4 linked regions of the Bombyx mori genome follow. Each later gene encodes a partner of the first gene's protein in a complex. Links are inferred from orthologs where the notes say so. Each region holds a gene or a part of one and is shown in the gene's direction. Other genes may lie near its edges.

Region 1 (5,808 bases):
TTTATCGGGGACCTTGAGCGCGGCGACCGAATCATGAAACTCCGTAACGAAAAAAAACCTAACATTCCTCACTCCGCCTACCATGTAGCTCGCGTTCAACACATTTACACGTTGCGCTTGTGTAGTGTTTGTGAATAAGCGCGTGGCGTGACGTCACACTGCATGCGCATCATGAAAAGTCTGCCCATCTCTCTCTCGCGCGGTTTAGCTTATGAGTGTGAAGGGGACAGTTAAGGTTTTGCCTTTATTAAAGTTTAATATAGCGTGGTCTTGTTTTATTATTGTTTTAATATTAAATTATCATTGTCTAATTATAATGTCATAAGTTGATAAAAAATGCTATGCAATAGCTTTACCGCCGCAGTTCCCGAGTGCCACACGTTTTTTTTTTGTCAGGAGGAAATCGCCGGACTTCCGCCCTTCACTGGGGATGGAGGGCGAGGCATGTCGAACCGACTAAAACCTCCTGTCGCTCAACAACCAGCATCCAAACCTCGCATGAGACAGAACTCATGAAAAGGCAAAGGGGGGAAAGTGAAGTGTTTAGTGCGGAGCACATCTCTCCCATCACCCTCCCCCTCGGGACGCCGGACTGGCGGTCGTCGGCGCCACGACCACCAGCCCTCTCGGTCGGCAGGCTGTCCGAAACCCGCCTAGATGGCGCCGGTAAGAATGGTCTATCCTACAGAATACCCCGCTGCGTCAGAACCAGCGTTGGTTGAGGATAGCCGGCCTTCCATCACCCGGATGCTCATGCGTAAAACGTGTGCAGAGCAGCTTGCACGTCGTCTTCTTAGGCCCCCTTCACCGGTCCCCAGGTCGACATGTCAGGGAGACCCGAAACACTTAGAGGGCCAGGGCTTGGGCGAGATCCGCCTCCCTGGACCCCGCTTGACGGCGGCGGGCCTGTGCATCTCTCACGCGCCTCGCCGCCTCCTTTTGCGAGATGGTGCACTCGCAGAAGTCGAGCATCGCCTTCCACGACTCGTCGTCACCGAGAATCGATGCCAGAACACTCGGCAACGACAAGTCGTTTCCTATTTTTGCGACGAGGACACGCCGCCACCCCCTCCCATGCGGGGCAGGCGACGAGTGTATGCTCTGCCGTGTCCAAGCCGCAACCACAATGGTGGCACTCTGCCGTCGGCTCGGCTCCGATCCGGTGCAGGATCTCACCGAAGCAACCATGCCCAGTGAGTACCTGCGTGAGCCGGAAAGTGAGGCGTCCTCTGTCACGATTCACCCAATTCACAAGAACCGGGCGAATCGCCTCGACGGTCCTACGACCAGCCGAAGGATCGGCCAGCCGCCTGGACCATGACTCCAGCACTGACCGCCGAGATTGGGCCCTCCACACTCTGATCACACTGAGGCTGGGACGCGCCACGCCCCGGGCACGAAGGTTAGCCCACCACTGATAGTCAGCGGCGGGCGCCTCCGCCTCCAGGACCTAAGGCGGCGTCCCAGCCAGTACACACGCCGCCTCGAAAGAGATGGTGCGATAACCACGGATGATCCTGACTGCGATGGTGCGTTGCGGCCGTTGCAGCAACTTCGCTACCCCCACGGCCAGTGACTGGCCCCACACGGGCGCCTCGTATAAGGCGCGTCACCTGGTCATGCCCCCCGATGTTGTAAAGAAGCCGGCTTAACGTGCCAGCCACCCCCAACAAACGAGGGACCAGATTCTGAAAGTGAACACGGAAGGTCCAACGACTGTCCAGAATGAGGCCGAGGTACTTCAACTGCACCCCGACCCGATACGGATGCCTCCAACCACGATATGGGCATCGATAGGTGGCACTCTCCGCGGCCTGTGGAACCACATGGCCTCGGATTTACTGAGTGTCACGTCGAGGCCCGATTTCCTGATTTTACCGACGACATGCGCCACCCGAGCGGTGGCAAGACGAGCAAACTCAGCAAAACTCCTGTGTCCCATTATTTTATTCTATCATCAATAGTTTTCGTAGGGCACGCGACGTAAAGAATATTTTAGGTAATTTTTTTTACACCTTGGGTTAAATTATTGGAGTTTTAGTAAGGATACCCAATTTTTTTTTAAAAAAGGTTATAGTCTACGTCACTCGGGAATAGTGAAGCTTCCAAACAGTGAAAGAATTTTTCCAATCGGCTTAGTAGTTTCGGAGCCTATTTAATACAAACTAACAAAACTTTCCTCTTTATAATATTAGTACAGATATTAATTATTACAAATAATAAAAACGCTGACTTAGGTGGCGGTTTTTATTTGAACCAGTTCTAAATTATAAACTAAAATTCTATGAAAAATTACCCATATTTATCTATAATACGAAATGATATTAATTTGTTTTTCGTAGTTTCCTTCCTTCTTGCGTCGATAATCCTCAGTGCTGAGGGTCGCGGCCTCCTCTAATAACTTTCTCCTGCATCATCTTGCGCCATTCCTGCCTGTCCTCGGCTGTATGGATAGCAACGTGGACTGAAGTTTTGAGAGTGGAGCGTATTTGGTCCGACCAGCGCATTGGATTTCTGCCTCTGTGCCCTCTCCCGCATACCTTGCCTGTTACCAGCAACTTTTCCAGATTCTCACCTCTCTTTCTGGCGATATGTCCAAAGATCTCTAAACTCCTCCGCGCGCATGTAGTGCGGAGGCGCATTGGAATCTTGAGCTCGGTAAGAATGGATTCGTTGGTTCTGTGTTCTGTCCAACGAATCCCGAGCATTTTCCTCCAGCACCACATCTCAAACGCGTCGATGCGTTGGCGGTCGGCTTTCTTGAGGGTCCAAGTCTCTGCGCCGTAGAAAAAAATGCCACCCAAGCACAGTCCATTTGGAACATAGCCCTCTTTGCCATACTGATTCGCCTTCTGAGGTCCTTTTCGGAGGTTCCATTACTAGCTATGACGGAGCCCAGATAAATGAAATCCTCTACGTCTTCCAGGTTTAGCTTATTCGTAGTTTAATAAGTTATTATTGTTAGTAGTATTATTTACTAGTCGAAATATAAATTTTTAATTATCTTATGATGAGAATCTTATATTAATGAGAAAGATATTCAACAAAAATAGTTTCGTTCTAATAAATTAGCATAGTAATAGTACAGTGAACTAGCAATTTATTTTGGTAATTCTGAATTTAAACAAACATATTGATGAGAAGAATTCATTTTTACTTTGCAAATTTGTAAATACACGCTCTGTAGCAATGTACGGACATATAATAATATGAAGAAACAATAATAGCATCTACAAATATATATGTACTACGTGGTACTACATTTAATAAAATTAATACAACATTTATTAATTAAATTAATGAAATTGTGGTTTTAAAGTTTTAGGGGTGTATAAAAAATGGGGGGCGCTGAAAAATAATTGATATTCAAAGGGGGCGGTAAAAGAAATAAGTTTGATAATCACTGCTCTAAGTATTTCATTTTTAAATACTCATAAAATGGGTCATTTCAAAAAATAATATGACATGAAAAAAATCATATAAAAGACATATTATTCACGTGCTCACGTGAAAATAAAAACTATGATTGCATTATAGCTGTTCGCCTGTGTTCTTCTTTTTACTTTACACAAATAAAATTTCAAATTAATCAAAAATCAAATTGCAAATTTAATTCTCGTAAACTGTTGAGTGGCGAAAAAGCCAAGTGGCACGTCATATTTAACTGTCAAACATAACAAAAAAAGTTTGGATTGACGCCAAAAAAGCCGAAGCCGCCATTATTGTGAAATCGTATTGTAAAAATAAATTTCACGTGCTCACAGTGAGTACGATACAGTAAACAAGCTAATTAAACTAAAGTAAATCATGGCTGACAACGACGATCTTCTCGACTACGAAGATGAAGAACAAGCAGATCAACAGACTGCTGACGGGTCTACCGAAGTGGCGCCAAAGAAGGAGGTTAAAGGATCCTACGTATCCATCCACAGTTCTGGTTTTAGAGACTTCTTACTTAAGCCAGAGATACTCCGCGCTATTGTTGATTGCGGTTTTGAGCATCCTTCCGAAGTTCAACACGAATGCATTCCGCAAGCCGTCCTCGGTATGGACATACTTTGCCAAGCCAAGTCCGGTATGGGTAAGACAGCCGTGTTTGTTTTGGCAACATTGCAGCAGCTGGAACCCTCCGAGAGCCACGTTTACGTGCTTGTAATGTGCCACACCAGAGAGTTGGCTTTCCAAATAAGTAAGGAGTACGAGCGTTTCTCGAAATATATGTCAGGAGTCAGAGTATCAGTATTCTTTGGTGGTATGCCAATTCAGAAAGACGAGGAAGTCCTTAAGACAGCATGTCCTCACATTGTAGTGGGAACTCCCGGTAGAATTTTGGCATTAGTAAACAGTAAGAAACTTAATTTGAAACATTTAAAACACTTCATCCTTGATGAGTGTGATAAGATGCTGGAATCTCTAGACATGAGGCGAGATGTGCAGGAGATATTCCGGAACACTCCTCACGGGAAACAGGTGATGATGTTCTCAGCCACATTGAGTAAAGAAATCAGACCTGTGTGTAAGAAATTTATGCAAGACCCAATGGAAGTTTATGTAGATGATGAAGCCAAACTCAAGCTACATGGACTGCAGCAACATTATGTGAAACTAAAAGAAAATGAGAAGAATAAAAAACTCTTCGAACTACTTGATGTATTGGAGTTCAATCAGGTGGTTATTTTTGTGAAATCAGTACAGCGCTGCATAGCTCTGGCACAACTGCTCACCGACCAAAACTTCCCTGCCATTGGTATCCACAGAAATATGACCCAGGATGAGCGTCTCTCCCGCTATCAACAGTTCAAGGACTTCCAAAAAAGGATCCTGGTTGCAACAAATTTGTTTGGCCGGGGAATGGACATTGAAAGGGTAAATATTGTCTTCAACTATGACATGCCTGAAGATTCAGATACATATCTACATCGTGTCGCCCGCGCAGGAAGGTTTGGTACCAAAGGTCTGGCCATTACTATGATATCTGATGAAAATGATGCCAAGATCTTAAACCAAGTACAAGATCGTTTCGATGTGAACATTACAGAGCTGCCTGAAGAAATTGAGCTCTCTACCTACATCGAAGGACGATAGATTAAGTTTCATTCCCATACCTATTTACTGCTGTGGCTCATTTTGTTGGTAATTAGACTGGCCTGCTTTAACATTGATTTGTAATACATTGAGCCACATTTACTGTTTAACTAGGTTTATCTAATTAAAGTGACATTTCATATTGTGATATCTGAGTGTTTTATTTCTTTACCAACAATTTGGGAGCTTTCATCGTTATCAGTAAGACAGGCTGTGATATGTTTAACTTTAGAATGTAGACAGGAAATTGATATATTTATTTTGACCATGTTCATATTAATGTAACAAAATATCCATTTTGAACATATCATTTTGTCTTTATGACTTCATATTTTTATATTCTTAGACATGCAAAATTTACTGATATTGGATGTTAATACTTCACACAAATACTACTGGATGCATTTGGATAAAATTTCATGCCTAAAAACTTCAGAATAAAACAAGCCATAATTTAATTTAGAGTACCTACGTACAGTGTGAGAGGTGGGGTGCAAGTAGTTTCAAGAAATTACTGTTTTTAGAGCCTTGCTATAGGATAATTATACAGGAACGCGACCAGTTTTAACTGAAAAGTACAGAAGGCCCATGTCCAGTAACTGGTATCCACTACAAAATCAAAATCTATAATTGTCTGCCTACACTATATTGATTTAATTAAACTAAATTAGAAACACGTCCAAAGATTTTTTTATTATATAAACTGGCATTTTAATCTATGTT
Region 2 (6,395 bases), on another chromosome or scaffold:
TAACAACCTTGAGGCATTAGTTCTAAGTCTCAATTTATAGTATAATGGCTGCCCCACCTTACGAATAGAAATGCTTTACGCCTTCACGGCATATATAGCAGGAAGACTGGTGGTACCTATCCATTCTGACTTACAAGAAGTCCTACCACTAATAATTTAAAAAATTAAATTACCTGTAGGGAAAATCATGAATTCCTGCATGGCAAGTTTATTTCCAGCATGTGATCCTCCATTGATCACATTGAATGCTGGTACAGGTAGAACAATGTCATTATTTCCAGCCAAATCAGCCAAGTGCTTGTACAGCGGAACATTCTTCTTGGCAGCACCAGCCTTAGCAACAGCTAGGGAAACTCCAAGGATAGCATTAGCACCCAGTTTGGATTTGTTCTCAGTGCCATCCAACTTAAGCATGAGTTCATCAATCTGTTAATTTAAAAGGTTTACATAGCTGACATATACTTTTTTAAATATATTTAATATTATTTTTAAACTATTAAATACATTTCTTGTTAATATGAAAATCCTATCAATATTAATTCCACTTCAATTGAATGTTAATACCACACTCAAGTTTTTTTTGAGTCCTTTCGAAATATCTACTCTTGTTTGAGATTTAAAAATAATTACCTCTCTCTGTTGGGTTACTTCGAGGTTGGCTTTTGTAAGTTCAGGAGCAATGAGTTCATTGATATTTTTGATTGCGGTCAAAACTCCCTTGCCATGATATTCACTCTTGATGTTATCTCTTAGTTCAAGAGCTTCATGAACACCAGTGGATGCACCAGAGGGTACAGCTGCCCGGAACAAGCCAAGCTCTGTTACCTGTTCACAGAATTAAAAGGTACTTTACATTTTTCAAAGAATTTCAGTAATTTAGTTGTTGATAATTTGTAACAAAAAACTTACCAGATCAACTTCCACAGTAGGGTTGCCACGAGAGTCAAAGATTTGACGAGCCTTGATTGATTTTATTACCATTTTTAATACTGAACTAGACTTTCTAGAAAAAAAAAAATTTTTCATTTTATTTGGAGAGCACTGGCAGTAGTTTAGAAGTCATCATGCCCCATCAACATGGTTAAGACACTTAAAGTATACCGGTATATCTATCTTGATAAAAGGACAAATGACTTTGTCCAATTTACAAAAATAAAAGATGTGTAAAATTGATGGAAATTTTGAATTTTCATTTAGTTCAGAAAAAAACTTGCAATCTCAATCTCAAAAAACTAATTTTTAATAGATCCTAAAGGTTAAATCAATACAAAATTACTATTTTATTGTATTTCTATATAATGCTTAGTATATGTGAATTTTAGATTTGGCAATTTAGTTTCAATTTTTTCAGATATCTTTTTTGTTCATCTGTTGATAGAAATGTATGGGACAAGTCATTAAATTGAAAGTATGATTTAAACCCAGTGACCTCAGGATCATCAGCCCACAGAAATTTACTGCTGTATATAAGCAAGGTTTACCACAATGACTGGTCTTACATAGCCCACATCCAGCAATTTACGCAACCTTTAAAATCTTAGACATAGAACCACCGAGACCTAAAATACAACCACCAATTTCCCATTTAGGATCTTGACACTCTTATTTGCTTAATAAAACACCCCATTATTTCAACTTATTACTACTTCTGATTTCCAAAGCACACAGCCTAGTCACGAGACTTACCTTGAATACTGCAAAAAGATTTATTGTATCGATTGAGGGTATTAAAGGATTAATTCTATTACTTTTACTTCTATTGCTAACGCTAATCGAATGAGATGCGCCGGCAAGGTCAAACATAGGTTGTACAATCATAATTCCTACTTTAAAATATTTTTTGATTTAAAATGTTTATTACAAATTCATTGCGCTCACGGGGTTTAAGAATTAGTCATTTTCAACGGATACAATGAAATTTACGTAAAATTGGATGGCTAATGATCGGCATCTAATTTTTTTGTATTGAAAATTTTTGCACTACTCCACTTTTTTGTAATCCATACACATCATAATAATAATAAATTACAAACCTTAAATTAAGCGATATCCTTATTTAACAAAATTGCACCTTACAAGCCGGGTTTGGCAAAATATAAGGATTTGGTTGCTGGCGCGATTACAGCAGTGATATTTTTGACCTTCTCAAGGTGGAAAGCAAAAACAAATGTCCTTTGTTTTGTGTACTTAAAGAGGCAAAGGGATCATAGTCATTTTATATAAAATAAACTAGATAACTAATCAACTGGGATGAAATTAAATGAAATGAGATGATATGGGATGAAATATTTATGATCTCAGTAAAATGGTGGTCATTTACTGAGATTCTTTCAGTGGACTTTTTGGAGGATCCCGAGGAGTTACGTCTAGCGACTTTGTTTCATTTTCCCACATTTGTGCCCTTTCGCAAATACTAAACAGGTAATAAACCACCATTATCATACATTCAAACCTGAAGAAATACCAAATAGACAAAATAAAACATATCACACAGCTTCACTCCTCGCATTCCCGCCAAAAAGTCGAAATCTATGAGCTGAGAGATGCACACATAGATTATCACATAGGTAATATTTGAGGATGCTTAACTGACATTTACTGACATTTATGGAGAGTTGCTATTGCTGAGTAGACGTGCGCTAATCATGTTCGGAACTGGATTGAACATGACATCGTTCTTTTGAGTGTCGGAACTAGTTCCAGTAAACATGTTCGCGGAACTGTTTAGTTTCACGAACATGTTAAGTCTAGTAGCTGTTTGTAGTTTGTAGCTGTTTAGTTCCGCGGACATATTAAGTCTAGTAGCTGTTTGAAGCTGTTTAGTTCCGCGGACATGTTAAGTCTAGTAACTGTTTGTAGTGTAGCGAATCACGTATTAAGTTATTATTAATTACACAATATTTTTCAAAAAAGGTATTAAAAATACAATTTTTTAAAAGCACTATATAAAAATAGATTGCCGCTTATGGCAATTATTATTGTAATATTATTTTGTAAGGTTTTTAGTTTTAGGTTCATTGTTACAGCTGGTTGCATAATTTATTAATGTACTGTAATTACTTTGTCATAATTTCAACTACTCTACTACTTTCATTATTTTTCAATGTAGGTATTGTACGATGCACCGAAAACTATAACCTATCAGTTGTTAATTAAAATACCACGTTATTCTGATATACAACGTAAATTGAGCTCGTTGTAGCCTTACAACCTTTTTCCCATAACCGAGATACCGAATAGCGAAAGTGGTGAATGTTTTAAAATTCTCGAATTTTGAATTATGATTTTCTAAGAAATGGTCTACAAACACTTAAGGTTAAGTGCTCGTAGGAATGATGCATGGTCAAGGTCAAAATCCATAGCAAAACATTTTAATTTATTCAACTATCGACTGTAACACGTAGGTCGTAGAGCATAACTTCAATATTAATAAAAATGTAATATGAAAGAGCTCCACACGCAGTTTCATGCACTCGCTCCATCTCACTCTCTCGTATTCGTGCCATATGTCGCCTTATCTCTTTACGTGGACTCGTGTCGGTTCGAGACTCGTTCGGGTGGACTCGCCGCGCCACGCCTCCGCGCCGCGCGGTACCTATGCTCTAATCATGTCCGCATGTCCGTCATGTTCAACGCGTTCGTAGTTCCTGCATAACAGTACACTTGGAATGGAAATGGAACTGTCTGAACATGTTAATTTTGACAACTCGGATTGAATGATATAGTTCCATATGAGGACATAGTTCCAGGAACTATTTAGGTCCGGAACTACGCATGTCTATTGCTGAGTAGGTACAATAATGAAGTATAATTTAAAAAAAATCATAGTTAAAGACTACCTTTCAAATTAAAGGCTAACATTAAAAGAAAAATAATTCAAACATTACCGTGAACGATGCTAGTAAAAGCTTTAATATATAAAAACAAATCCAGTGAATAGAGTGAATAGGCAGTAAGGTTGTAATTGTCTGTTTAAATTAGTGATTTTTTTAAAGTTCCAGACTTGGATGAAATCTGATAAACTTGAATAAAACTAAACATGGGAAAAGAAGAAGTAACGGCTGTTAAGAAACGGCGCAAATTAAATACAAGTACATCAAATGACGGAACAAAGCCAGTTCCCGTTGATGTATACAAGGTATTGACCAAAATATATAAGATGTAACATAACCTCAAGACTCATTATTCTGTACCATAAATATGTATAATAATGTAAATTTAAGTACATAGTTCTACTAATAAATGAGAATTTATATTTGTGGCTCCTGGTTTAGCAAGCTGTTGCTTTTATATTTTCTGTTGAAGTTTTTGTTTCAGTTTTAACTTATTATTAACAAAAATAAAAATTAAGTGAATCCTGTTCGTGAAATATCTTGTGATCTTCAAAACAAGTTTAATATTAACACTTAGAGAAGTTGTAAACTGAACAAGATCCCAGTACACCAAAAAAATTGTCTTTATTTTTCAAGATTCTTCATTCATTACAAAATGTGTTTTAAATGGATTGTTCCAGCGTGTTGTTGAATTTGAAGAAGCTGAAGCTCATCTGCGTCCAGCTGATAAGGATGCTGCCTTTTTCAATAAAACATGCCAAGACATAAGGCAACTTTTTAAAGAGATTGCAGAGTTAAAAACTAAAGAAACATTGGAGGTATGCCACTTTTCAATTAATAGTTAATGCAGGACATAATAAGAGTCGGGTCCTACCTCGAGAACAGGATGGCCGTGTGCACCGGGCACTGTGGGGCGGTGCTCCATTTTCCCGTCGAGCGTGGTGTCCCACAGGGGTCGGTCCTTGGCCCTCTCTTGTGGAATGTCGGCTACGAACTGGGTCCTGCGGGGTGCCCTTAGCACTCCTCTCCCGGGTCTGAGCGTAGCTTGTTACACGGACGACACTTTGGTCGTTACCCGGGGGAGGGACATCTTTCCTGTGTATGGGTGGCCTTCGTCGTCTGCAGGAGTATCGCGTTCTGACCCGGCAGGCTGGTTCTGGTCCAGCTGGGTATCCCGGAACACCAGCGGCATCGCCCGGGCGGCCTGGCAGGGCTGTCGTACCGCGGAGACCGGCTTCGTTGTCGTCGACTGTCGCATTGAGGACTCGTCGATCCGGCGTCTTCAGGGTGGCGTCGCGTGTCTGGTTGTAGTGTTGACTACCAGATCGTAAAGTCCCACACCCCCCTAGACGCGGGGACCTCGTAGGAGGTTCGGCACCCGGCTCGACAAATAAAAAAAAAAAATGGACATGATTAGATTATATTATGAATTGTAATTAATGTTAAATAATATAAAATATGGAACAATGCAATTAAGGCAAAAGTTATAATTACAGGCTAAAGAAAAGATAAATGCAAAAAGAGTGGAAGCTTCATTACTGCTGGTTGCGTTAAAGAAATTAAATCGCCTGGAGAAAGTACGAACTAGAGCTGGTCGTGATGCGCTCCATAAAGAGAAACAGAGAGTTGATTCCACACATTTACTGTTACAAAATTTACTTTACGAAGCAGATCACTTAAACAAAGAAGTAACTAAATGTTTACAATTCAAATCTAAAGATGAAGAAATAGATCTTGTGCCTCTTGAAGAATTCTATAAAAATGCACCTCCTGATATTATTAGATCAGTAAGTATGTTTTCACAGTGTGTAACTGATATCTGAATGTACATATTTTAACCGTTTCAGCTCTGAATATTTTTTTAGTTTTGTCCCTAAAATGCTGTAGGTAGCTAAAATCCTGAATTTCTTTTAAATATTGAAGCCAAACTTGAATTGCAATAATATAAACAGTTCAAAACATATACATGCACTCAGGACCAAGAGCTTACCTAAGTTTTTGGGCGATAGCATTGCATCCCAATTGTCATTTTATACATTAAAGCGCTATCGTGCTGAGTAGCATCATAACGGTTAGTAGAAAGTTAGGCATGACAGAAGTATGACTGCTTTTAATCTGTCCTGGTGAGGGTGCCAGTCATATGATTCACATTGTTTCCCCTTACAAATATACATATGACATATTCCACACATATCTCAGACACTTGATACTGAGTACTTGTAACTTTGATACTGATCAGATGAGTTGTTGCAGTAATGGTACTGACAAATTCAACAATATGACAATGTGTAAAATTTTAGGAGGTCACAAAGGCTGATGAACATCAATTACAATTAGCCCGACTGGAGTGGGAGTTACGTCAACGTCGTGAATTATCTGAAGCCTGTAATGAACTCATATCTTCCAAGGAACGAGTAGCAGCTGCCATTGCTGCTGCACGTTCTAGACTTGATGCATTGGCTCCACATCTGAAAGATGTCTTGAAATCCACTAAACCTTTGCAAGAATGTCTTGCTCTACGCTTGGATGAAAAACGTGATGAAGCCAGGGCCGCAAGCTTGC
Region 3 (6,298 bases), on another chromosome or scaffold:
CTAACGCTGACCGTAGCAAGAGCAGTGCTTCGCTGATCGTATCACGGTTGGCACTGGAGTCCGCTGGGATGAACCTTTTAAGGCTGCTATGCTGGCTTGCTGTTGGACCATTGTTGAAGGCTTTGCCTTAACTGTGAAAGTGCGAGTACTGTGGTAGTAGAAGTTCATGATGATAACGTAGTGTGGAGGCTGCAATTGTTCCGTAGGTCACCAGTTTGGGGGTAACGAAAAAGGGGAAGAACTTCCACCGAGCCGGTGAAATTGCTCGACTGACTGACGGTCCAAAAGGTGTTGCTTAAAACTTCTATTTACAGGGTGTCCCAGAAGGTATCCATAACCAGGCATTTACGATAGCTCAGGGTGTGTGGGAAAATTAAATAAAGTCGCTAAGCCTTCCAAGAAGTCCAGTGAAGTTTCAGTAAATTTTCCACGTCCTTACGGATTCATCAAATCCCATAAACATTGCATGAGACGCCATTAGCTCTAGCACTAAGAACAGGCTTAGGGACCCCGGTAACCGTGCTCGTCGAACTCAGCAAAGAGTTCGACGTGCAACCTATTCTAAACATCAGCCCGCTTAGTTTCTCGCCGGATCTTTACAGGAAGTCGCGATAACGATCCGGTATGTATATTCATTAGCGAAGCAGCTTCTCTTAAGGTGTTAGGTCTCCTCTGGAGGTGCTCGGGTAGCTGTTAGCAAATCCCACCACTCCTGGCTGAGCCCTTGCTCGCCCACCTGCCTTGGTGAAACTGGAAAGGCCTCCAGGCCACAAAAAACCCCTCAATCATAAAAAAGTAAATTTTCACCATTTTGGACATAATTCTATTTCATTTCATCTCATTTAATTCCATTTCGTCTCCCGTTTCATCTTGATTGATTATAATTTTAGATACATCAAATTCTTTTCATTCTGAGTATATATCTATAGGTACATATAAATAAAATTGGAGTGTCTGTTTGTAATATTGAAGGGGTTGTAAGGGGCATGGAACTAACATCTTTACCATCTACAATGTCAACCTCACCTGCTCGTGGTACACCCTGCTGACCAACGGACGAGGCTCTGGCGACCGAAACTCTGGCGGGATAACCAGACAACCACTATGTACAGGAGGAAATAACTGTACCCGGACACATCACCTATCTGGGGGTTTCCCTACTTCAAGCGGGGTAGGTTTTGGTATGTCAGATGGCAATCGGTACCTTTTAATAAACCCAAAAAACTCGCCAAATTTTAGTAAGCAAATGGACAGGTTACATAATACGTTTGGGATAACGGATAGGGCGTCGCCGCGAAACGACGCGCAGAAATATCGCCCTACATCTGCGAACAGTATACTAGGGCTACCGAGTCATGGACGGGCTCGGCTAATGAAGTTAGTCCCAAATTGTAGCCTGAAATTCCGCCCCATACATAAGAACAGGCCTGTTCTTATGTATGGCAGCGAAACATGGGCGGCAACCAAAAGGAACGTACATACCATTCAAGTTGCTGAAATGAAAATGCTGAGGTGGATGTGCGGCGTGACTAGGCTCGATAAAATCCGCAACGAGTACGTGCGTGGAAGTCTAGGTGTACGGGACATCGCCGACAAGATGCAGGAGAGTAGGCTGAGATGGTATGGTCACGTGAAAAGGAAGCCACCTGACTACGTCGGAAATTTGGCGCTACTGCTCGACCTCCCCGGTCGGAGACCTAGAGGCAGACCCAAGACAAGGTGGAGGGACGTAGTGCTGAAGGACAAGAGAGAATGCAATGCTGCTGACGAGGATGTCGAAGACAGAGCGAAGTGGAGGAGTAAAGTCAGGAAAGCTGACCCCACCACCATGTGGGATAAATAGCTGGGAAGAGAGAGAGAGTTTGTAATATTGAAATAACCGCTTTTTACTACATGCATATGAATATATATACGGTACATACACCAAAATAACATTTTTTACAATTTTTGTCTGTCTGCCTGTTTATTTCGGCTAATCTCTGGAGCGGCTGGACCGATTTTGATGAGGCTTTCACTAATAGGTAGCTGATGATATAAGGAGTAACTTAGGCTATTTTTTTAGACTAGCTTCGCCCCGCGGCGTCACCCGCAGTTATTGTCGTACCGCGCGCAACATGGCGGGACTCACCTATCAATAATAAAATTTAATGCTTCCGAAGCGAAGCGAGGGTGGGTCGCTAGTATTATATATGAATAATAATTGAAAGATTTCATAAACTCAATATGATATATGAATAATAATTGATTGATTTAATAAACTCAGTACTTTGTGTATTATCTATGCTCAATATTGGCAATAATGGCATTGCAAAAGGCTGATTTCGATAGTAAAAGAATAAAGAGGTACCACCTCGATCAGTTAAAAATTCCCAATTATTATCGCAATTAACTTTGGCTGTATGACGTATAATCGTCATGCCTATCGCATTAAGGAATCAAACGATAAAAAATTATGACAAATTTGTCAAATGTCATTATCCAGGTCACCTGTCTACATAGGTTTCCTACTTCATTGCCTGTCTACCTGTCTTACTGTCTTCTTGCTTGGCTCGTTTGAATACCAATACTACAATACAAACCGTGTTAAAAATTAAGATCATTGACAAATGTTAACTTAGTGACTAAAAATATATCTTTAAATTCAAAGTGATATATGAAATAATGAAACTCTTGAATTAAGTTTAATTATCGCGGAACTGGCATAATTTAGCTTAGCTTCGAAACGATGCTCCATCGGCGGAAAACAATGGCTCACAAAAAATTTGGTTTCGGTCATTTTTCATTTTTAATTTGTTTGTATTCATTAACATTATAAAATTATTTCACTGTTTAATATTTTTAACATTCATGTTATTGTTAGATTAGCTTTATTTATAAAATTGTATTAGTTTTTATTTCATAGATTAGCGTTCGTTAGTCATGAATATTCAAGTATGCAGGGACACTTCAGACGCTGTGGCGCTTTACTTGCCACAGCGTTTGTATTTAAAATCGTATGCCAAGCTTAATATTTCTGTCCAGCTTCCCTCTCACAAGGTACACGGCAAAACTATATCCAATTGGGAGCTCATGGAAAAACTGCGGAAAATGATCCAACCTGAGAGTTTTTCATTGTTAAAAGTGTCGAAACATAGTTCGGAAGTGATCAGATTTGATGCGGAAATAGAAAATTATAGTATGCTAAAGATGGTGATTATGAGACTTGATGAACGTGTGGTGAAGTTGAATGATTACCCGGAGCCCTTAAGAGTGAAAGTTTGTGAAGCGAAGTCGGATTTCCCTTCTCGTCACGCTTGGGACTCGTTCTTTCGAGATGCGTCCGATATGGATGAGATGAAGCCAGGAGAAAGACCAGACACTATTCATATATCAAACCTGCCAATACGTTGGTTTGTTCATAAAAATGAACGGGATGAAGATGCGATGCCTTCTGAGAGCTTATTCAAAAAGGTCTTTGAAAAGTTTGGTAGGGTACGTCAAGTGGACATACCTATTGCTGATCCATTTAGACTTCAAATGAAATCAGCCATCAGAGGCATCATGTATCCAACAGAAGATGCAGCTGTGTATTTTGAAGGATACGTACAGTTTAATGAATATGTCGGTTTCGTCAGATGTATGGATGAATTGAGAGGCAAGAAATTAGTTAGAAAGCAGGATGACATTGCCGAGTGGTGTAGCATCAGGGTTGATTTTGATAAGACAAAGCACATGACTGATGCAGCCATCAAGAGAAGGGCTATAGTTAGAGAAAGACTTGCAGCACGAAAGAGTCACAAAGAGGAAGAAGAACAAGCGGAAAAATTGAAAGCTGCTAAAAGAGAAGCAAAGGAAAGGTAAGTTTAAAACATACATCTACAAGAGTCTTATAATTTGGGATTTTATTACTTATAGCCTAAATAGTAACTAGGTAAAAAAAAAAAAAAAAATTATGTAGTCCACTGTGTGATAACTTATTGGATATAAGATGGATATTTGATACATATTGTTTAGTTTTTTGAAATTCTGTGCACTTGATAGTATCTACAATGCTTGCTACACATAACAGTTGAGAGCTTTTTGTTTTACTCAAAGGTTTCATTCTACACTTGTACATTATTTTTTTATTACATTTCAATACAGTGATCTGTCTATCACTAAATGCTGGTTTTGAGGATTTTATAGACAATTGTGTCTGCACAATGTCTGATCAAATGTTTACTTTTATTAAATGTATGCGGAAATGCAGGGTAAGATCGATGCTTTGGAGCAGAGAGCTAGGCTTAATAACGTCGAGATCAAGGGCGTTCCTGTAAGGAAGAACGAAAACCTTTTTACAATCGTCGAGAACATCTCCCAGAAGCTGGGTGTGTCCTTTTCCAGGGCTGACATCAACCATGTTACGAGGGTACCTACATTTGGATCGCCTGACAAACTGATCATACTAAACTTCCACAATAGGTACACAAAGGAAGATTTTGTCGCCGCTGCTCGTGCACTAAAATCTTTTAATGCCCAGGACATTGGTTTTACTGTTTCTAATCGTATCTTCGTGAATGACCACCTGACTCGTGATTCAAAGCAACTGCTCACAAAAGTGAAAACATGGGCCAAAAAGAAGAATTTTAAGTACATTTGGGTTAAGTTCTGTAAGATCCATGTGCGAAGATCTGACTCGTCTCCGGTTATTATAGTACATACAGAGGCAGATTTAAACAAATTGACTTAGCTTGTGTCTTATTATTACTTTTTGTATTTTGTATTAGTTTCTATAGTAACTTTTTGTTGCAAATTCACGTGTCACTGGACATAGGTTATGTACACTTATTAATTATAATCGTGGTCCAAATGTTTACAACACATGTTGTTGTTCACTGGCCGGCGCCTCGCCTTTTGCCGCTATTGTTCTCATATCTCGTTGCTTGTCTGTTTGAGGTTGTCATTACTGACATATATTTGTCTTGCTTTCACGAATGTATTGCATATCTACTACTTATTAACGCTGATCTAGTGTGTCAGGGGTTTATTGGTACTTGTTATATTCTTCGACTATTTTTATACTACCTACAATTTAATTTAATTTACTATTTTCACTTTTACTATTTAATGTCTAGAAATTACCACAGCGTAATATTAATTTTACTTACTATGTTATTAACTATTTTCTTACAATGGACAATGAATCAGTCCTGAATAGTATTCATATCTACTACCAAAATGTTCGTGGACTTCGAACGAAAGTTCTTGAGTTTAGCCGTAACCTGCTATTATGTTCTTATGATGTGATTATTTTAACTGAGACTTGGTTGACTGATGGTATCCTAGATGGCGAATTATTTAATGAACATTATACAGTTTGGCGTAGGGATAGGAACAGTGACCTTACGGGTCAATCTCGGGGTGGCGGTGTTTTGATTGCGACTCGTAAAGATTTAAAAGTTAGTTTGCAGCCGTCATTTAACTCATCGGTTGAAGATTTGTGGGTTACACTCATCGTTAAGTTGAAACGTGAAACTATTAAATTGCATATATGTGTATTATATTTATGCAAACAGGGTTCTAGGTTTTCTTTCTCTGAACAATTAACTAATTATCTTACGAAACTCACCAACATTGTTTTGGATAATTCACTTGATAAATTCATACTTGTTGGTGATTTTAATCTGAGCGGAATTACGTGGCTGCCGTCTAATCTTGGTTACTTTACACCTTATAATGCTCGTAGTAGTGATGAATTATTGCTTGTGGATGAAATGCATATTCACGACTTTGCTCAGTATAATGGGATAACTAATAAGGATGATAGGATTCTGGATCTAGTTTTCTCAAATGAATCATTGGTGGTGAGTAAGTGTGTTGATCCAATGGTCCCGATTGATCCGTATCATGAGGCTCTTGGTATTACGTTTAAATGTATTGAACTTGTAACTCTAAGAACTGCACCGCGCACTAACTATCGATTCAATAAAGGTGATTATTTGTCAATTAATAGAGAGCTTAATAATATTGACTGGTGTGTTGAGTTTCAGTCAAGATCTTTGGAGGGCTGTACTGATTATTTTTATGAGACAGTTAACGACCTTAAAGAGAGATATGTACCATCTCGCATGACTGGCTCTGATCATTACCCAGTCTGGTATTCAGCTGCTCTTAAAAAAGCTATCAAAGAAAAATATAAATATAAACGTAAATATTCAAACTATGGAAATAAATCTGATCTAAACTCTTTTAATGTGCTTCGGGATAGGGTTAGAGTACTGGAAACCAATTGTTACAATGATTATATTGACTCTCTTGAAATTTCAATAGGAAATGATCC
Region 4 (6,352 bases), on another chromosome or scaffold:
GCGTAACCTTAACTAGTAAATGAGCTCACAAAGCTGACGACGTTGCTAACACGAACCCTAGCAAGAGCCGTGCTTCGCAGAATCTACCACCGGATCGGAAACGCGACTCACTGAGAAGATCCGGCGAGAAACTCAGTGGGCTGTGTCTGAGGGTTAATTTACTCGGCGAGCCCTTGGTCACAAGCGACGGGTTCGACGAGAACGATGACCGGTGCTTGAGGTACCTAAAAGCACCTTTAGTGGATCGGGAGGTTCCGAAATGACGTGTTTTGGGCGACGTCGACTGCTTTCCATTCTGTCCGCAGGATCGGGAATGGGGGCGCGAGGGCAAGGTGCGCCCGTAGTGTGAACAGACTCGTCGCGTAGGTACTAAACTCCGCTCAGCATTACTTTCTCACTCCGCTCCGATGGACAGACACAGTACGCAACGTTCTGTTTGAAGGATGGGCTTTAACATTCACTTTGTGATGTCTATGGACTCTGGTATCTACTTTACACCAGGTGGCTGCTAACTCGTTCGCCCATCTACGAAATAAATGAAAAGAGTTTAACAATCAACTACATGGAACATGGCATCAAATAAAAAAATTAAATTCCATAATTGAAATTGACAATTGCCTTAACATAGATAATACACTTAATCTGACACTGATGTAATCAAACTGAAGTGTGAAGTCGATAATCTCCCTGTACCTATTTAAACTGGTTTAACGGTTTCATATTAGGAGACTCGTTTCAAATATGTTACGGAATCTCACAAAATTACTACGAAGACCGCTACCACAACAAACAATGCTTAAACGCAATTGGACACAAACAGGAATGATAATTGTCATTCCGCCGAGGAATAAATGCCATCTTGGCGTAAGTTTCTTATAACATCATGTTTTGTATTTCCAACACTTTTTTCTATGTGAACAATGCAGTTTAAGGCCGTTGGAATTTGAAAACTACCAATAAGTAATGGTTAATTACAGAGCATAATGCAACTCAGTGACGCACAATGCCGAATTATGCTGAAGCTTAGTTGAGCATTATGACGCATAATGCGTTCTTGTGCTGTAATTGGAAAACGGCCTAAGAATGATCTTTATCCACTATTGGGAAAGAGATTGAGTTTGACATTTCAAAGGGCTGTCAACAATAAGAATTTAACCCACAGACACATCCCACTGAGTTTCTCGCCGGATCTTCGCAGTGGGTCGCGTTTCCGATTCGCTGATAGATTCTACGAAGCACTGCTCTTGCTAGGGCTAGTGTTAGCAACGTCACTAGATTAGAAATCTCGTGAGCTCAGTTAGTCGTTCGGCAAATCTAATATAACCCCTTGAGGTTACTAGAATAGGTAAGAAAAAAAAAAAGAATTGCAGTGAAGCTTGTTCAAGTAACGATGATTGAGGTAAGCTAACATCCACTAACACGGCAGACGCATTAAAAGATATAAATTGTGATTGATGAGGTCCCAGACCATTTAAAGAGCGTATAAAGGATCTCTACCGAACGAACTTCCATTTTGACAAGCGGCTTAACACAGAAAGTAACGCTTGATACTAAAAATATATGAGTAAACTTAAAAAATAATATGTCGGATGGTTATCAGTTTACTAATTCAGAAAAATTACTCTCTGCGCACTTATGTGCAGATATTTGTGTTTATTTATTGCCTTTCTAAGTGGATGTGCATACGGCCCACTTGATGGTAAGTAGTTACCGTCGCTCATAGTCTATGAGTTATAGACATCAGGAATGCCAGGGGCAGAGCCAAGCCACGGCTTACCAAGTGCTGCTTGCTGTGTGATGTGATACATTATTTATTGTTAATGCTATTTTCGTTGTGCTTTTCCCTTTTTTTTCAGGAGGCTTTGTTGCACTGCGCGTTTATGCTCACAGTTTGGTTGACTCCAATGGCTTACTTCATGAGCCAAATAAAGGTGTGGCGACGAGAATACATGGGCAAGTGAATGACGAATAAATAATTGATTTCTTCTACTGTCTTTATTTTTAAATCTCAGAACGTATTCAGCTTCACCTCTACGCCTTAATCCATTCAACCTGGTAACAACCCGTTAATTAAATAAATGTCGAACACTAAGGTACAGTACAAGATTATAAGGTAAAAGTTCGGCATACAAATTATTTTTTAAGGTTTTCTGTAACTTTTTGTAATGTTCACCTTAAAACTTATGGAAATGAACTTTACAAAGATATTTTTAGAAAGCATTCTAAACTTTTTGCGAGAACGAGAGGTCTACTCTCAGCTTCCAAAGCAAACCCAGATCCGCATTAATACGACCCTAAAAGGTTAAAATTAAGGATAACAAAATCGCTGGACGTAGCTTCGGTTATCCCGGAAATCTCAGTAAATTCTCATCATTTCTATGAGCGCTGTTTCATCTTACTTCTATAAAATAATGAAATCATTCCTACAACTTTGCTTCTCGTGCTGCTGCCAAATAGTCTTAATTTCATACAACTTAGAGGTTTTGGCATTTATTACAAAAGACTTGCCTGTATGAGTTAGATTTCCTTTGCTTGTCCGATGAAAGGAACAGTCGTCAAATAAACAAAAAACACTAACAGGAAAACAACTAAAATTTTAATGTTAAATTTTACATGATAACCAAAGCTATGAAGGATTCAAAGCATTCGCAAGCTCCTATAGAAGATTTAAGTGAATTACGTAGTTATTTTGCGTCACACAATACTACACGCGAGTACATTGCACATTCATCCAAAGTACATTCCGTGGGCTGGTCCTGTGATGGTAGAAAGCTGGCTTCTGGGTCATTCGATAAAAGCGTTGCAATATTTAATTTAGAGAGGAGTAGATTGGTGAGTTATTGTTTATTTCAAAATATTTAAAATCCCTACTAAATTTGAGAGGTTATAATAAATTTTTTTTTGTTTTTAAGCAATAACTTAAAAATTGTGCAGCCTAGAAATAAAAATAAGTAGACACAAATTTTGTAAATTTCAGAGTCAAGATTTTATTTTCAAAGGCCACACAGGCTCTGTAGATCAACTCTGCTGGCATGCGTCACATCCTGATCTCCTGAGTACAGCGAGCGGAGACAAATCTGTTAGGATATGGGATACACGGTAATACTGGGATGTTAATTATTAGCCCTTTATAAATAAATATTAATATGAGATATCCAAAAAAAATTATAAACATCTAGAAATTTTTATATCAACACACATGAATACAATAGTTGAGATTCCATCGTATTCATAAAAGACAAGTGTTAGTTCCAAATGAACATTAATACTATTTTGCGGTAGAGAGTGTGGCATACCTTTATTGTAAATTTTCATAATATATCTTCCTGAACAAGATTGATACCATTGAGTTCAGTTGGCTTTTTCATGGTGACTTAATTTAAACTATTAATTTTAAATTTTTCTTATAATATAGAAAATCTAAGGGTGTTCTACAGGATAATAAAATTTATAGATCACACAAATGCGCGGCGACAATCCCAACCAAAGGTGAAAACATAAATATAGCATGGTCTCCTAATGGCAACACCATTGCGGTAGGGAACAAGGAAGATTTAGTTTCATTTATCGATACAAAAACTTATAAAGTGGTGAGTAATGAATTTTTACTTATATACAGTCAAAACCGTTTACTGCGACATCGTTTAGAACAACATACCGGTTATAATAACCTAGAACAAAGGTCCCGGCTGAATGCCATATGACCGCCTTATTAAAAACATTGCTTTATACGACATTGCTAATAACGACATACCTCATATAACGACCACATTTAACTAATATTTCGGAGAATTAGATCTGTTAGAACGACCAGCTAAGCTGTATTGTAAACAATTTGAATAGGTATCCACATTTGTCTTCAATGGATATTAAAATCAGGAAAGAAAACAATAGGATTTAGTTTAGTGTAGGGTCTTTTCTAATTCTTAGAAACAAAACACGTGCATGCAGTAGAGTCAAAGCCCGCTTCTTCATATCTCTTCAGTTAGTTTGTTACTTATCTATACACAAGACGCATCAAAACTTTATGGAGTTATTCGTGAAACTTTAAAAATGTCGCAATGAAAAAGAAAACAAATTAATATTGAAGAAAAATCGCGGATTATATCCAAGCTAGAGAGCGGAATTTCAAACAAAGACTTAGCAAAGGAATATGGTTATCACACTCGACAATTTCAACCATTTGGAAAGAGCGATGACGATACGTTAATTAAAATCCAACGTGAATTACAAAATATCTACGCACAGCAGAAGTGTTCCAAACAGACCAAAATTACAGATTTTATGCTCACAGAAAACTAATATGCATTGTACTTATGTGTAATAAACAAAATGTACGTTGTTGTATAAATATATTTTTCCAATAATTCCCTATCGATTTGTTTGTACTTGCACGATACACATTAAACATCACCGGTTGTTACGACTATCGGTTTTTACGACTGAATTTGAGCAGTCCCTTCGATGTCGTTATAACAGATTTTGACTGTACATACATATCTATCATCTCTCACAGCATTGATAAAAATTCAACTACATATATAAAATGTATGAAAATCATTAAAATCCACTGTCTAACTTGGTCATATTTCTTGTATCATCCAGATAAAATAGTATTATTAAGCCAATTGTAATTTTTTTATTGACACTCTTTTAAAGATTGACCAATTAATACCAAAAAATACCACTCAAAGAGGATACATACCAGAGATTCTGTCTTTTCAAATACATGAATATAGGGTGATTTGTATCGATTTAGTTACTGCATACATTAAGACATTTATTTATTGCAGGTAACAGAAGAACAGTTTAACTTTGAAGTGAACGAGATATCATGGAATAATACATCGGACTTGTTCTTCCTCACCAACGGACTGGGATGCGTACATATTATGACGTTAGTATTTTATAACATTTAATTCATCAATTCACTGCTAGAAGGAAATAGTTTCAACATTACTATAAAAATAGTTTTGTATTTGTTAGTTGTAAGTGCTGCTACTAAAGTTTGTATGTATTCTGAAGTTTACTTCATTCTTGCCATGGAGGATAGAACTAAGGAGTATTCCATCTTGTGTAGGGGACAAGTTGAAAAATGTCTACCTGTAAACAGCAAGTTACAGTTCGAAGAATCAACAAAATAACGCTAGTGTAGAAAGTGGAAATGGTATGATCCGTAAAGAAGAAATACGACAAATTATATAGCTGTGGTTTGAATTTCCCATTTTGTGGTATCATAGGAGCAGTAGTATTTAAGCTGCTTCAACTAACTAGATTGTCTAGGCACTGACACAAAGGATAGGTAACACAGAGAGAATTAATATTGTTATGTCATTCACTTAATGTATATTGTATATAACATAGGATTTCGATACAATATAGGTAGATTAGCACTTAATTAACTCAATATAAGTATGTAAGTGTACAATAGGACACAGCACAGCAGACGTATCGAATGTGTACTGCCCGCAGTTTCCAAAATTGCCGATGTGCTGAAGTATCTCCGAACATGTTTTAACAACAATAGCGGATGTGGCCTAAAATCACAAGTGACAGCAATTTGGTCGAAATTATAAGGCGGTTGCCCAAGTAGTGGTATGTGTCAATGTAGTGGCGGATAAGTGAGTCGCCAAAGTATGTATGGTGAGAGTTTAGTAAAATAACGAAAATTAATATTTCTCTCCAGTTATCCATCTCTAGAATTGCAGACAGTACTGAAGGCGCATCCTGGTACGTGTATCTGCATCGAGCACGACCCAACCGGTAGATACTTTGCTACTGGGTCAGCCGATGCTCTGGTCTCACTATGGGATGTCAATGAACTGGCCTGCTTAAGAGTTTTCTCCAGGTATTTTTTTTTGTTCTAGTTCATTGAATGTGCTGTAAAAGATATCAAATATACACAATATTATGCCAAAATGTAAACTAATTTCACTAGTGCGGGCTATTGACCAAGCTCCAACAGTCTGCGAAATGCAAACAAACAGACAAACTTGTATTTTTAATATTACGTGAAGATGAAGAGTAAAATACTGAGACCTCTGATACTAATAAATAGACTTGGAAATGGACTTGGAAGTTGGAAATTTGCGATGAAGGATGAACGGTGGATATTACCTAAATGGTACCCAGAATACATTATTCATTTAACATGGAAACATAGCAACCGTTGCTGTGCAATTATACTGTATTCACAAGAGAGTGTTAAAAGTAATTATCCTGGGAAAAGGCAGTGTTTCATTCTTTCTCAATTACAAATACCAGCCACACAGGGAAATTTAATATTGTTGCAATTAAATGGGTGGACGAGCTGACGGCCCACCTGGTGTTGAGTGTTTACCGGACCTCTTAG

What was found. Proteins that work in one complex are often made in the same cells at the same time.
Region 2: ATP-dependent RNA helicase WM6 (region 1) and THO complex subunit 5 homolog share a complex: the UniProt entries of both Homo sapiens proteins name them as parts of the transcription/export (TREX) complex. The link is inferred for Bombyx mori from reciprocal best matches to the Homo sapiens genes DDX39B and THOC5.
Region 3: ATP-dependent RNA helicase WM6 (region 1) and A-kinase anchor protein 17A share a complex: the UniProt entries of both Homo sapiens proteins name them as parts of the spliceosome. The link is inferred for Bombyx mori from reciprocal best matches to the Homo sapiens genes DDX39B and AKAP17A.
Region 4: ATP-dependent RNA helicase WM6 (region 1) and THO complex subunit 3 share a complex: the UniProt entries of both Homo sapiens proteins name them as parts of the transcription/export (TREX) complex. The link is inferred for Bombyx mori from reciprocal best matches to the Homo sapiens genes DDX39B and THOC3.

Annotation. Positions count from the first base shown.
Region 1 is NC_085122.1:1,015,880-1,021,687, forward strand, and holds ATP-dependent RNA helicase WM6, read left to right. Parts: upstream 1-3,415; 5' UTR 3,416-3,807; coding exon 3,808-5,085; 3' UTR 5,086-5,235; downstream 5,236-5,808. UniProt on the Homo sapiens protein: Involved in nuclear export of spliced and unspliced mRNA. Component of the TREX complex which is thought to couple mRNA transcription, processing and nuclear export, and specifically associates with spliced mRNA and not with unspliced pre-mRNA.
Region 2 is NC_085114.1:10,649,219-10,655,613, reverse strand, and holds the start of THO complex subunit 5 homolog, read left to right. Parts: upstream 1-2,560; 5' UTR 2,561-2,628; intron 2,629-2,647; exon of another isoform or gene 2,648-2,913; intron 2,914-3,290; exon of another isoform or gene 3,291-3,901; intron 3,902-3,981; exon of another isoform or gene 3,982-3,995; 5' UTR 3,996-4,039; coding exon 4,040-4,138; intron 4,139-4,513; coding exon 4,514-4,651; intron 4,652-5,329; coding exon 5,330-5,620; intron 5,621-6,133; coding exon 6,134-6,395. UniProt on the Homo sapiens protein: Component of the THO subcomplex of the TREX complex which is thought to couple mRNA transcription, processing and nuclear export, and which specifically associates with spliced mRNA and not with unspliced pre-mRNA.
Region 3 is NC_085127.1:13,390,880-13,397,177, reverse strand, and holds the start of A-kinase anchor protein 17A, read left to right. Parts: upstream 1-2,463; 5' UTR 2,464-2,919; coding exon 2,920-3,836; intron 3,837-6,298. UniProt on the Homo sapiens protein: Splice factor regulating alternative splice site selection for certain mRNA precursors. Mediates regulation of pre-mRNA splicing in a PKA-dependent manner.
Region 4 is NC_085132.1:2,064,440-2,070,791, forward strand, and holds the start of THO complex subunit 3, read left to right. Parts: upstream 1-2,517; 5' UTR 2,518-2,613; coding exon 2,614-2,832; intron 2,833-2,977; coding exon 2,978-3,099; intron 3,100-3,454; coding exon 3,455-3,590; intron 3,591-4,793; coding exon 4,794-4,897; intron 4,898-5,686; coding exon 5,687-5,848; intron 5,849-6,352. UniProt on the Homo sapiens protein: Component of the THO subcomplex of the TREX complex which is thought to couple mRNA transcription, processing and nuclear export, and which specifically associates with spliced mRNA and not with unspliced pre-mRNA.